2 linked regions of the Cricetulus griseus genome follow. The protein of the gene in region 1 interacts with the protein of each later gene in a pairwise test. Links are inferred from orthologs where the notes say so. Each region holds a gene or a part of one and is shown in the gene's direction. Other genes may lie near its edges.

Region 1 (6,942 bases):
TGTAACCACCAAGGCAGCAGGAGTGAGTGCTCTAGAGACATGAGTAAAAGCAGTGGAGAGGTCAGGAGAAAGGAAGGAGACAGCATCCACCGAGTCCGTGGCTTTACACACGTTATCACTTTCAAAGTTTAAACAATCTCGTGAGGCAGGCATTACTACTGCCATTTTACAGAACGATTAAGTAGCTTGACTAGGGTCAGAGAGCTGGTGGGTGACAGAGACCAGATTTGAGCCGGTTTTCCTTTGAGACTTCACAGTCATGCTTATCCTCAGCCCTATGGGGAAGCCTCGGAGGCAGTCCAGGAGAGACTCCCGTCACGAGTCACTGAGATAACATACACCCATTGTTTTAGTTAATGCAAACAGGTAGCAACTGCGGTAGCAACAGGAAAATGATCCCGCTGAGCTTGGAAGCGCCCCTTCCCCCAGTAAGGACCTCCCAGTCTTTAGTGGCATTGCCTTCCCGCCTCACTCCCTGCTTTCCCAACCCCCTTCTCCGGCTACCCTATCTGGACCCCTGGTACTTATGCCTCAGTTACTAGGAAACGCTGCTATCAGCCTGCAGGCAGCGCCAGCTCCTTCAGTCCAGACACCTGCATCACTAATTTCACTGGGACACAAGCTGCAGACCTCCTCATTTCCTGCTGGCTGTATCTGTACACCTCCCGGAGGGAGTTCAGCGCTTCCTTGAAGCTCCCCCCGCCGCCCCTCCCCCCGCCACTGGTGGCAGCCAGCTAGGCGGAAGATTCCCTGACTCATAAACACCTACTCCATCCCTCTGTCCCCAGGGCCATTTCAAGAACAAGCCTGCAGCCCTTTCAGAGATCAACAAAACATCCTCCTGCTAGTGTATAGCTCAGCCTCTCCTTATTTTCCTTGTCGATGAAATTAGGATAAAAATACTGCTTTGCCTCTCCCACTTGGCTCACAGCAAAATGGTCAGCATGAAAAAGTGCACGCTCCATCGATGGAAAAAAAGCATTAATTTATCAGATGACACCAGGCCAACCCATTATCGTTATTCCACAGTCAAGGAGAGGGACAGATTTTCTCTTTGAGTCAGGTCCTGGCACCAATCCCCTAGCCCTCCCCACCCCATTGCTACCTGACTGCGAGTCTCCAGTCCTAAGCCTCCTCGTGGTGCTTCCCAGAGCTGAGCTTTCAGGGCTGGCGTCAGGGTTAAGAAAGGCTGCCCCCTGCTGTCCACCTGGTTCCAAACCATTGCAGTGCCGAACTATTTAGGACGTATTCATTTAGGAACCAATACCGTCACCTAGTGGCCAATAACGACAGGTCACCAAACTGAAATCTCTTAGCTTTGATATCTATTTGTCAGGGACCTGTAGAATGAAAAGCAGAAATTGCCTCCCCCCCCCCCTTCTGGTGCTCTGCTTCTAGGATACGGGTGGCTCTCATCCTGCTCCTCCAGGGCTTTTGGAGGAAGCATATTTGGCCATAATTCAGGCTGTGCTCAGAACATGTGGGGCAAATTGTGGCATTAGAGAAGATGTCATGGAGGTTTCTATCAAGGATACAATGTCTGACTTGTGGGCAAGTTACATTTGCAGTTTTATTTTAGTGTTCAATGACATATGTATGCTATCCAAGCTTACCCCTGCTGTGACCCCCTCATAGTTACCTGGCCCTTGGAATACTCAGCTTAGAAAATACTCGGTTCTTAGGGTAGGAGAGGTGGCTCAGTGGTTAAGAGCACTCACTGCTCTTCCGGATGACCTGAGTTTGGCTCCAAGCACCCATATTGGGTGCCTCACAGAAGCCTGTAATTTAGTGCCAGAAGATCTAACATCTCTGACTTGAGAAGCCAGATATCTTTCTGATATCTTCTGGAAACCTCGAAGTGTGCACATACCCACATGCACACGCACACACGTGCGTGCACACACACCCCTACAATTTAAAAAATAAAGACATTTAAAAAAGAAATGTGTCCTGTGATTTCCAGGACAGTCTCCAAACCTACAGAGAAACCCTGTCTTGGAAAAAAAAGAAAAGAAAAAGAAAAGGAAAAAAGAATCTGTCCCTCTCCCCAGAACATGTTAGTAATAAAAGAGACAAGAAGGTATGATGTCACACCTGTCAACTCAGCTCTAGGGAGGCTGAAGCAGGAAGACTGAGAGTTCAAGGCCAGCCTAGGCAAACAGGGAGCCTCAGCCTAAACAAATAAAAAGGAGTCAGGCAGTGGGGGCACACACCTTTAATCCCAGCACTCGGGAGGCAGAGACAGGTGGATCTCTGAGTTTGAGGCCAGCCTGGTCTACAGAGCAAGTTCCAGGATAGCCAGGGCTACACAGAGAAACCCTGTCTCAAAAAAAAGGGGGGGGGAGAAAGAAAGGAAAAAAAGAGAGAAAGGAAGGAAGGAAACACATTTCTCATTTCTACGTGTTTTCTTGCCACTAAACCTGGAGCCCTGCTTGAAGGGCTCTAGAAAACCAGAACCACAACAGATACCTCTGACTAGGGAGCAGGGCATTCCCAAAAGGAAAAGAAAAGTGAAATTTGGGGATTAGTGGACAATGAAGAACAGTCAGGCAACTACAGGCTTCTCCTATGGTCGCAGAGACATCCCCAAGAAGAGGTGAGGACAAGAGAGAAGACTTCTCAAGCTTACAAGAGGAAGTGGACACACTAGAGGTCAGAAAACAGTCATGCAGAAGGAAAGACAGCAAACGAAGCTACAGTGAGCTCCAGAGCCTGCATGCACACCAGAGCACAGGAAGTAGGAGGCAGAGCCTCTAGCCAGTGTGGGGTGGGGTCAGCCTGAGCCTCTTTCAGTGAAGGTGGAGCAACTGGGGCCTCCATGGATCTTGTCTGTCTGTTCTGGGGCAGCAGCCTGTGAGGTTCAGGGCCCATGTCTTGACCAGAAACCTCAGCTATGTCCAGGCAAACTGTGGCAGGCTGCTAGAGGTAGCCAGGATGGGAAGCATGTGAACAAGCCCTGTACAAAGACCAAGCCAAAGACCCTTAATAAAGCTGCACTCTGGAGGCAAAGGCGGGCAGACCTCTGCGAGTTCAAGGCCAGCCTGAACTACATAGTGAGACCCTGTCTCAAAACTAGCAAATGAGTGTGCCCTGTGCTAGGGCCAGGGGAGGCTTGGTCCTAGAATCTATTACTACTTCCCAAAACCCTCAAACAATGATGCCTACACTGGGGAGAATGCTGTGGGAGGTGGGGCTATACAAGGAACTGACTTACCCCCCGGGGAGGTGGAGTTCAGGACTTGGGGGGACAGGGAGGAAGATGGCTCAAGGGAGGAGTTTAGACCAAGTTGGCACTGGAGGAGTGCTTTCTCTACTGGCTCTGGCTTGGTGCCCTACTCTGCACAGATCTTTCTGGAAGCTGGAGGAAGACAGACACTCAGAGGAGCTACCCTGGACAAGGGGTTGGAATCCCTTAACCTAATAGGACAAGAGGGGACATTTTCCCAAACAGCAACTTCTGGACTGTGGCTGGGGCCTCACCAAAGAGCGCCCTAACTGCTAAGCACCCCTCCCTCTGGGGTGTGCCCTGCCCCTCCCTGACTCACACCAAGGAGAGAGGGGAAAAGGGAAGAAAGGAGAGGCTCTGACTACAGAAGGAAAAGGAAGCAGAGGAGGAGGAGAGAAGCCACGTAGGAGTGGGGGACAGAAAAGACCAGAGAGGTCAGACCTAGGGCAACTCTAGGGCCGGGGGAGATCAAGAGAGGGCAGGCTGAGCGTTCATCCCAAGGAGTGCCCCAGCACAGGACCCAGGGGCGGGGAGCCAAAGGGGCGGGACGGCTATGTCCCACGGGACCTACTATGAGTGTGAGCCTCGGGGTGGCCAGCAGCCACTCGAGTTCTCAGGGGGTCGAGCTGGGCCCGGGGAGCTGGGGGACATGTGTGAGCATGAGGCCTCCATCGACCTATCTGCCTACATCGAGTCTGGGGAAGAGCAGCTACTTTCTGACCTCTTTGCCATGAAGCCAGCACCTGAAGCCCGAAACCTTAAGGGCCCAGGAACCCCTTCGTTCCCCCACTACCTGCCGGCTGACCCTCGGCCATTTGCTTATCCCTCACATACGTTTGGCCCAGATAGGAAGGCTTTGGGGCCTGGCATTTACGGTAACCCAGGGAGCTACGACCCCAGGGCTGTGGCCGTGAAGGAGGAGCCCCGTGGGCCAGAGGGCAGCCGAGGTACCAGCCGAGGCGGCTACAATCCCCTGCAGTACCAAGTGGCACACTGTGGGCAGACAGCAGTGCACCTTCCCCCGACCCTGGCAGCACCTGGCCAGCCTCTACGCGTCCTCAAGGTAAGACCAAGACAGCTCTCCCTTGGTTCCTCCCCGGGTTGGAGCAAGATGGTTGGTTGGATGAGGGAACTCTGACATGGGGCTTACCCAACAAGTCTATGTTTGGTGCTCCTCTGTGAAAACGGCCCACTCCACGGCCTCGCTTCCCCACTCCGTGAATTCCGAGCTCCACTGTGTCCTGAAGACCTTGTGGTAGCTGCTCTGCCCTAATCTGCGGTCCATATACCCCTTCTCTTGCTTCTCGGCTGTGTGCTTCTGGAAGAGGAAATACTGCTGATTGTAGAATTGTAGAACAGGAGACTTAAAACAGACAAACCAAAGGAAAGTGTCCTAAGAGAAAATGAGAGCATGAAAGACAGCTTTGATCTCAAACCAAATACCAAGTGCATCTGGGTTCCCGTCTTTCACAGAGAAAGGGCAATGACTGGGAGATGGGAGCGGCCTGGGAGCCCTCTATTCCTTGGAAGCCCCAAGTGTGCCCTTGCTGCTGGGATTCCTGCTCAGCCCCTATTTTGCCTGCTGATGGACCCTCACTTCTCTGTCCCTCTGACTTGCCCTCCAGGCCCCTGTGGCTGCTGCTGCCCCTCCCTGCAGCCCCCTACTCAAGGCACCTTCCCCAGCTGGGCCCTCACACAAGGGCAAGAAGGCAGTGAACAAAGATAGCCTGGAGTACCGGCTGCGACGCGAACGCAACAACATTGCAGTACGCAAGAGCCGGGACAAGGCCAAGAGGCGCATTATGGAGACACAGCAGAAGGTGCTGGAGTACATGGCTGAAAACGAACGCCTGCGCAGCCGTGTGGAGCAGCTCACCCAGGAGCTAGACACCCTTCGCAACCTCTTCCGCCAGATCCCTGAAGCTGCCAGCCTTATCAAGGGTGTAGGGGGCTGCAGTTGAGCCTGCTTGGCAGACTATGGACACCAGACCCTAAGGACTCCTACCCTCCTCGGTCCCCAGAGTCCTGAACAGACGATGCCTAAAATAGGGATCATGGACAATGGCAGCCAGTAGCTGGGAAGGTCGGGACCATAAAGATTCTGTTGCTGAATAAACTGCAGTGTGACTTGATGCTGGAGCTGTTCACTGGGTCTCGGGCCTGGGCCTGGTGGGAGGGCTGTGCATATACACGCATGGAAGACCCCGAGGGCAGGGAATACATGTGGCTAGGTTCACATGTTCTTGTATCCGTGTACACATGAACACCTAGTAAATAAACCTAGTAATTGCTGCCCACAACTCTCTCCAGCCGAGCTTGCTTGGTGTCACCACTGCTCATGCCAGGGCCTGCAGCAGCCTCTGCAGACTGTCTTGTCTTGAAGAATTCTGGGGTTCAGGGTGATCCCAACACTGCACAGCACCAGTGCCAGGCCCACTGACCCTAGGCCCGCTTTCTTGCTTTAAGGCCTGGAAGCTCTTTTCCCAGGTGACTTTCTAATGACTCTGCCATATTTGTGGTCCCTTAGCTCTTGACCCAGCTCTCTGTCTCTCTTCTCTTGTTCCACATCTCCACTCCTATCTTTATTTCTCATCCCCTAGGCCCTGGCTCCCTAACACTGGAGAAGATGAACACCTGGGGAGAAGTCAGTTAGGATGTAAAACCCCGCATTCCACGTGTTTTCTTTCCCATAGAACTGCAGCCCAAGAAGCAAAACTGTATAATAATTGAGTCTCGGTTTGCATCTCTGACTTGTAGCCTGTCTGACCCTGAACCAGTTACCTCTCCTTTCAGTGCCTTGGTTTCCCCATCTGCACAAGAGGAATCTCGGTACCTATCCCGTGTGTTATTTTCATAGAGAAATGGGGTTTGACATGTGGTGAGCGTGCATATCTGTTCTGATTCCGTTTTGCTAGAGACAAAAAGACATCGGATCGCCTCCAAACTTCTCTTTTTGCAGGTGAGGAGCCTGGGGCCCCAGAGAAAGGAAGAGACTGCCTGGAGTCACACAACGATGTGAAGGCAGAATCAAAATTAGCTCCGTGAAATCACAGATCTCAAGAGGTTCTAGGAGAGACCTCAAGAGATCATCTGTGCGAGCTTTGCCCTCAGACAAGCAAGATAGTGTGAGCCACATCTTGTAGATAAAGCAGGGAGGGCCAAAGGGGATAAGAGCTCACTCAGTCCTTTGCTGCCTCAGCACAGGGTACGTCTTTCACATTCTCCCCTCAGAGAAAACAGCACAGATGTGCCACACGTGCCACAGTCAAGAAAGAATTGTGGGGGCTGGGGCTGGGGCAGAGTTGGCAGCGTGCTTGCCTAATATTTACAAGACCTGGGTTCCATCCTGAGCACTGAAAAACAAGAAAAAGTAACAGTGAACTGCCCCACAATGTTAGAGACTAGGCAGGATAAGAACTACAGTGTGGGGGCTGGAGAGATGGCTCAGTGGTTAAGAGCACTGGCTGTTCTTCCAGAGGACCCGGGTTCAATTCCCAGTACCCACATGGCAGCTTACAACTGTCTATAACTCCAGTTCCAGGAGATCTAATACCTTCACACCAATGCACATAAAATAAACTTAAATAAACTAGTTTGAAGAGCTACAGTGTGTGTGTTTGGGGGGCTTGGGTGGGGGCTGGTGTATATGGATCATCACAGGTCTGTTTCTCTTTCCACTTCAGACCTCAGTGGTACAAGCTATCACACATCCCGGG
Region 2 (6,409 bases), on another chromosome or scaffold:
ATTAGGCCACATAATCATTTTCAAGGGAAATTGTGAAATGCTTGTTATTGAGTTCATATCCATCATGGCTTGGAAGGAAGCTTTCTTTCTGTCCTGCTTTAGTGCTGGAGTAAGAACAGATGACCCACTAGCTCAGGGCTGGCTGAGTGGCTTTTTAAGCTATTCAAAGTAATGATATATGGACATTTAAAGGCAAAGATTAATAAATAATAAAAGGCCAACTTAATAAGCATGCTTGAAGAAGCCTGGCCAAAGTTTGGGTGAAGCTGTTGATGTTTACTGACTGGACCGGGTGTCTCACTGGAGCATTTTCCTAACTCCAGTTAACTTCCTAACTTTGTCCATTATTTAGCAGTTCTGGGAAGAGAGCAGGGCGGTGTGATGGGTCACAGTGCTTTCAAAGGGTGCTGTGTCTCCTAGGTGGACATGGTTGATTCAGCTGTTGGGTTTATAGTGACATGTCCTCTTGGGGATGGAGCAGGTGTGCTTTCACAGGTGATAGATAGCCAGCCAGGTCTCGGGGGCTTTCGCAGAAGTGCTTCAGTGAGTCTGCTGAGCTCTGAGAGTGAGAAGTGGGTACCAACAGTGGCTGCCCTGTCCTTGGGCCAGCCTGGGTTCCAGTGTTTGGCCTTCCTTGGCTGTGTCATTAGAACATTGTTTCTTTTGTGAATCCGTATGTTTTGACCCTTCCTCACAGTTCCTCATGTTGTGGTGACCCCCCCACCATAAAATTACTTTCATTGCTGCTTCATAGTTGTAATTTTGCTACTGCTATGAATTGTGATGTAAATATTTTTTGGAGATAGAAGTTTGCTGGGCTAAGTGATTGTGTCACGAATGAAAAACTGACACAGGCTGGAAGGGGGGTACTCTATTGGATGTCTCCGTTCCCGAACAGAGGCCGCCTGAGTAAATTTCAGTAAACTGTCATTTAAGCTTGCTGAAATGCAAAAAGGCAAATCAGCTAACCAACTGAAAATACCCTGCCTTAAAAAAATAGCCCACACAATAGGTGATGCCACTGCTAAGTCACCCTGGGAATATTGACTGGGGAGGCCCCCGATCGATTTGACCCTCATGGGTTCTGCAGGCTGGGCCTTCTGCTCCAGCATTCTGACCTGACTTGAAACACCCCTCCTCTGGTTGCAGGTGGCCGGCCCTTCTATAGCAATTGAACTTGCTTCCCCATGCTGGCCCCAACCAGACAGCTCAGACTTCTCCCCGGCAGATTGTCCACGTGCTCTTAGCTCACATATGCTACCTGATTTGTGCTAGGCTTAATTTTTTTTTCTTTTTTTTTTTTTTCTTTTTGATGATCACCGCTAGCCTCAGGTGGGGCTGGCTTCTGAATCAACTTACCTTTGAAATTTGGAAACACTGCAACATTTGGCAGTTGTTTGTGTCAGCAAAACCAAAATTAATGGTTGCCTGCTATGTTAGGTCCACGCAAGTTTAATCTTACTTGATCCTGTCATTTCAAATATTTTAACGCAACTTGTTTTCTAACTAGGTACATGTGAAGATTTTTTGGCACTTGGGGTGTAGCCTCTGCTGGTCACACTGCTCTGATTTCTGCCTGTTCTGTGTTGGCAAAGGAACTCGCCCAAATGAGCAAGCTGTCGCAGCCAGCCACTGCTCCAGGAGTGAACGGAATAAGTGTCATTCACACTCAGGCACATGCCAGTGGCTTACAGCAGGTCCCTCAGCTGGTGCCTGCCGGGCCCGGGGGAGGAGGCAAAGCTGCGCCTCCAAGCAAGCAAAGCAAAAAGAGTTCGCCCATGGATCGAAATAGTGACGAGTATCGCCAGCGCAGAGAGCGGAACAATATGGCCGTGAAAAAGAGTCGATTAAAAAGCAAGCAGAAAGCTCAAGATACACTTCAAAGAGTGAACCAGCTCAAAGAAGAGAATGAACGGTTGGAAGCCAAAATTAAGTTGCTGACAAAGGAGTTGAGTGTACTGAAAGACTTGTTTCTCGAGCACGCACACAACCTCGCAGACAACGTGCAGCCTGTCAGCACTGAAGCTACCACGACACATTCTGACAACACAGGGCAGTAGTTCTCCTTCCAGGCGCCATGGACCTGAACTCGAGAGGTGTGAACACCTGCACCGCCAGTTCAGTGGCTGAGCTTGGTCTTGTTCCATCTGAGGTTATTTTCTAGGCTCAGTACTGAACAGTGGATTAGCCATGTAATTTATCTGGTCTTAATGATAATGGGTCTTTGAAGCACTAAAAGAAAACTTAGGGTTTATGGTTAAAATAAAATTCCTGGACCTTACTATTCTTAATAAATCCTGACTTCCCCAGAAATGTTTCTTTTTCTAGGAACGGGAAAATGGAAGGCCATGTAGAAGGGTTAGGGTTTTAATGAGACAGTACCTTGGATTAAGAAACGCTGGATTCCATCTCTGTTCCTGGATTCGTGATTTTAGTTTAAATTGTGTATTGTAAATTCTAGGGCTTCAGAAACCAGTCATAATAATTTGGCCCCATTTTATAGCTAGTATAAACCTGTGTTTGCATAATTGGCATTGGTTTTCCCAACGAGTACGTCTATATTTTTTAAAACGACTTCAGGCAAAGTAAAGAAACCCCATTCAGGTCACATCAGAGAGGTGTTTAAAAATACAAATTGCATTTAGGAAGGAAAGAAGTGGTTTTGTTTTCCCCCCGTGTTTGTTTTAAAGGGCATAGAGAGAGGAGGATTGGACTTTGGGGTCCTTTGCTTTATTGGAAGGAAAGAAGTGGTTTTGTTTTCCCCCCATGTTTGTTTTAAAGGGCATAGAGAGAGAAGGATTGGACTTTGGGGTCCTTTGCTTTATTGGATTAGCATTATCTTGAGTCCTAAAAAAGTGTCTACCTGTACTGACATTTTAGTTTCTGTGAATGCTAGTAAAAGTAACATTTGTTGGGCGGGGGGAGCACCTTTAAATTTTTTTTTTTTTTGGACAGCCAACTTAGTAAATAAAATGCCTTGGCTGGATGATACAGACCATGCTTTAGAAAACTAGTTTATGCTGGTCATGATGTCACATACCTTTAGTCCCAGCCCTCTGGAGGCAGAGGGAGGTGGATCTCTGTGAGTTCAAGGCCAGCCTGGTCTACAAAGTGAGTTCCAGGACAGGCAGTGCTACACAGAGAAATCCTGTCTCAAAAACAAACAAACAAAATGAATACTAATTCTTTTGGTTTTTCCTGTGTTGAGAATAACTGCCAAGGGGGCCATGATTTTTAAAGGCAGGGTTTGTGTGTGTGCAAGTGTGAAGAGGCACGCTTGGGCCTTTGATCCCTACTAAATGATTACTAGAAAAATGTATCAACTTCATGCCGTCTCTCAAAAGAATAGTCAAAGAAAACTTGAAAGTATAAGGTTTCAATCTTTAATTTATTTCCTAAATCTGTATTTTTCTTTTTTTGAGGCATTTCTTTTCTAGTTTAATGGGGTGTTTGTTCTTCCAGACTTAATGTTTCATTGTCTCCGTGTATCCATTAGTATGCTTTTATGTTTTGTATAAATTATTTTAGAGAGAAAATGCTGATGAAACTCAGGATACTGACTTTTTTGTTGTGAAACTGAAAAGCCGATAGGGTGTCTCTAGGGGCTCTACTTTTATCATTGCTGTAGTTTAGATTGTCTTTGGAACTTCGTGGGTTTTGCACAGTTCCTGGCTAAAATTTGTTGGTTCCTGAGATGGTGACTAAAACCTGAGTCTTGCATGATTACAGTTTGTGTTGCCTGGAATCTTGTCTGAACATGGTCATTTCTGGCCCTGTTTCCTACTAAGACTCGGTTACTGTAGCCCCAGTGTAACTCAGGTTACTCCCCGAGCGTGGCAGAAGAGTTTGGTGCCCTGCAGCTCAGCAAAGCCTTTTAGGGCCACTGTGCCGAAGACAGGAGCGGACACCGTTCTTAGGGAACCAAGAAATGAGTGGAGTTTTTAAAAGTTAGGGTCCAGCACCACTTTCCCTTGGTTGGAATAGCCATCTACTCATCAAGATTGGTAGATGTTTTGTCTGACTGACAAGGATGCTCCCAAACAATCCTAATCTTTACCAGCTGATTGAAATTATGTAATGAACTTAATGGGAGACCAATTAGGTCCTCCTTGAATCTGTAAATACCTTCAGACATTGGAAACTCCTACTCCACACACCAGCTTTCACAAACGGATGTGCTCGTGGAATTTGTGGTCACGGTGCAAGGACTTACACAGGCCGTAGGGAAGGCAGTGCTCAATACAAACCAGTTCCAACTGCCCTTACCTTCAAAATCAGATCCTTAGCACCAGCAAGCAGTTCTGCATAGAGCACAAACGTTAGCTGGCCTTGGAACTTTCTTACTAAAGTAGAAATGATGCTTAGCTTGATAGTTGTCTCAGTGTAAAATTGGGGGAAACCAGGTTTGGTGAGTAGGGAAGCTTAGGACTTTGGAAATTGTAAAGTGGCTTTTGTCACTCATTTCTGGGGAACCTTTAGAGTTTGATCTGCCTTGTGGACAGGTCTGGTTGTTTAGGAGTCCAGCTGTGTCTCCTGGGATGGGTTCCCTTTGACTAGTTACAGGTGCAGAGGGAGGGTCAGCTTTCCTTCTGCGCCTGGCCCTCTGTGACAGGGGGGTTTGAAATCCAGGTGGCGAGTCCACTCATCTTTTACACTTCCCAATTTATGAAAGTAGAAACATGTTCAGTTGATAAGAAAGGAAATGCAGCGGTGTTTGCTGTCTCTGCGCCCCCTGCCCCCACCCCCACCCCCAACTGGAGGGCTGAAGCTTCCTTCGTGCCTGAACAACCCATGAGCACCCAGAGTGCTTGTGATGCCTTAGAAATAGGAAAGCTGCCTGTGTGTTTGACAGGTTAGGGAAGATTTCATAGAGCTGATCACATGCCTCTCAGGAAAAATACTAACTTGTTCTCTTTGTTCTTGGCTTTCAGTTTGAGATTACTCTATTTTTTTAAATATAATTTTATTTCTTTCAACGAATTTAAAAATAAACACCTTTGGAACAATGACTGGTTTTCTTTGTGGGTTTCTCTATCTTGGAGGTGAGCAAGAAGTTCACTTGTAATTGGCCCCAAAGATCCTGCAAGGTACCTCCTGCTGCTGTCCTGGGCTGGGCTGGGCTGAGGGGTGAGGGGTGAGGGGTGAGGGGTGGGGGGGCGGGGTCATGGTCATTACATAATTTCAAGCAGGGGGCTTTTGTGCAAGTTTGGATTTCCCTGAGTAGACAGTGGAGTAGTTTACTCTAAACTTGGAATGCATCTTCAGTTGTTTGTAGTTGTTTGGCCTAACTTAAACTGCACCCTGGAGTAGGGGACATGAAAGGGGCTGCTGTCTCCTGGTGGTTCCTAGCCTGTGGTTTCCACCTGAAGCCTGTCTGTCCCTAACGGTGTATACAGTTGAGAGTACCAATACCATCTTGACAGTGCCTGGCTATGGAAGTGAATTAGCGTGAGTCCAAGTAACCAGTTTGAATTGTGTCTTTTAAGGGAGAAAAAATGAGATGCTTTCCTCTGGTTCTTTGAGTCTTGTGTTTGGGGAACTGAATTTCAGATTGTTGCATGATCATGAAAATTGTGTCTTCGTGCAGTGGTGCACACTTGTAATCCCAGCATTATGGAGATGAGGATCTTGAATTCAGGCTAGCCTGAGTACCAGTGAGACCTTGTTTAAAAAAAAAAAAAAAAAGCTGGATGGTGATGGCACACGCCTTTAATCCCAGTGCTCGGGAGGCAGAGGCAGGCGTATCTCCGAGTTCAAGGTCAGCCTGGTTGGTCTATAGAGTGAGTTCTAGGACAGCCAGGGCTACACAGAGCAACCTTGTCTCAAAAAACAAACACCCCCCCCCAAAAATTGTAGCATAGTAATCAATTCTACTGGTGTTCTGTCCTACTTTGTTTGAGTCAATTAGGTGAATTTTTGTTTGTTTTTAGTTTTAGTGAGAAGTTCTCAATGTAGCCAAGGCTGGCCTTCACCTTGCTATGTAGCCAACTCTGACTTTGAGCGTCTGACTTCCTGTCTCTACCTCTGAAGTGCTGTGATTACAGGTATGTACCACTACCTCTGGATTTTGTGTGACACTGGGGCTTGAAGCTGGAGCTTTGTGTATGCTAGGTGAGTACTCTGCCAACCGAGCTGAAATCTCCTGCTCTAGTTGGAGTGTATTTCTCATAACTTGTATTAGAAGTTTTTATACTTTGTGACGGAACCAGGTCTTAATAAAAACACCTTTAGAATGACCAGTCCTCAAAGTGCCTGTACATGTGTGAAGAGTTCATAACTGTATCCTGTGCATTAAAAAAAAAGTCCCATCCCCCGACTCAGCCCTCCCTGTGAAGCGGCTGTCAGGTGCCTTTCTGGAGCACGAAGCTTGAGCTGGACCTCTGTGTGCCCCTGGAACTTGTCTGCTTCA

The links. The genes of interacting proteins can lie anywhere in the genome.
Region 2: the proteins of Cebpe (region 1) and CCAAT/enhancer-binding protein gamma interact in a two-hybrid assay, tested with the Homo sapiens proteins (2 studies listed by BioGRID and IntAct, with this or other methods). The link is inferred for Cricetulus griseus from reciprocal best matches to the Homo sapiens genes CEBPE and CEBPG.

Annotation. Positions count from the first base shown.
Region 1 is NW_023276807.1:209,924,777-209,931,718, reverse strand, and holds Cebpe (CCAAT/enhancer-binding protein epsilon), read left to right. Parts: upstream 1-3,229; 5' UTR 3,230-3,779; coding exon 3,780-4,289; intron 4,290-4,851; coding exon 4,852-5,187; 3' UTR 5,188-5,358; downstream 5,359-6,942. UniProt on the Homo sapiens protein: Transcriptional activator. C/EBP are DNA-binding proteins that recognize two different motifs: the CCAAT homology common to many promoters and the enhanced core homology common to many enhancers.
Region 2 is NC_048602.1:3,445,493-3,451,901, forward strand, and holds the end of CCAAT/enhancer-binding protein gamma, read left to right. Parts: intron 1-1,510; 5' UTR 1,511-1,607; coding exon 1,608-2,060; 3' UTR 2,061-5,009; downstream 5,010-6,409. UniProt on the Homo sapiens protein: Transcription factor that binds to the promoter and the enhancer regions of target genes. Binds to the enhancer element PRE-I (positive regulatory element-I) of the IL-4 gene. Binds to the promoter and the enhancer of the immunoglobulin heavy chain.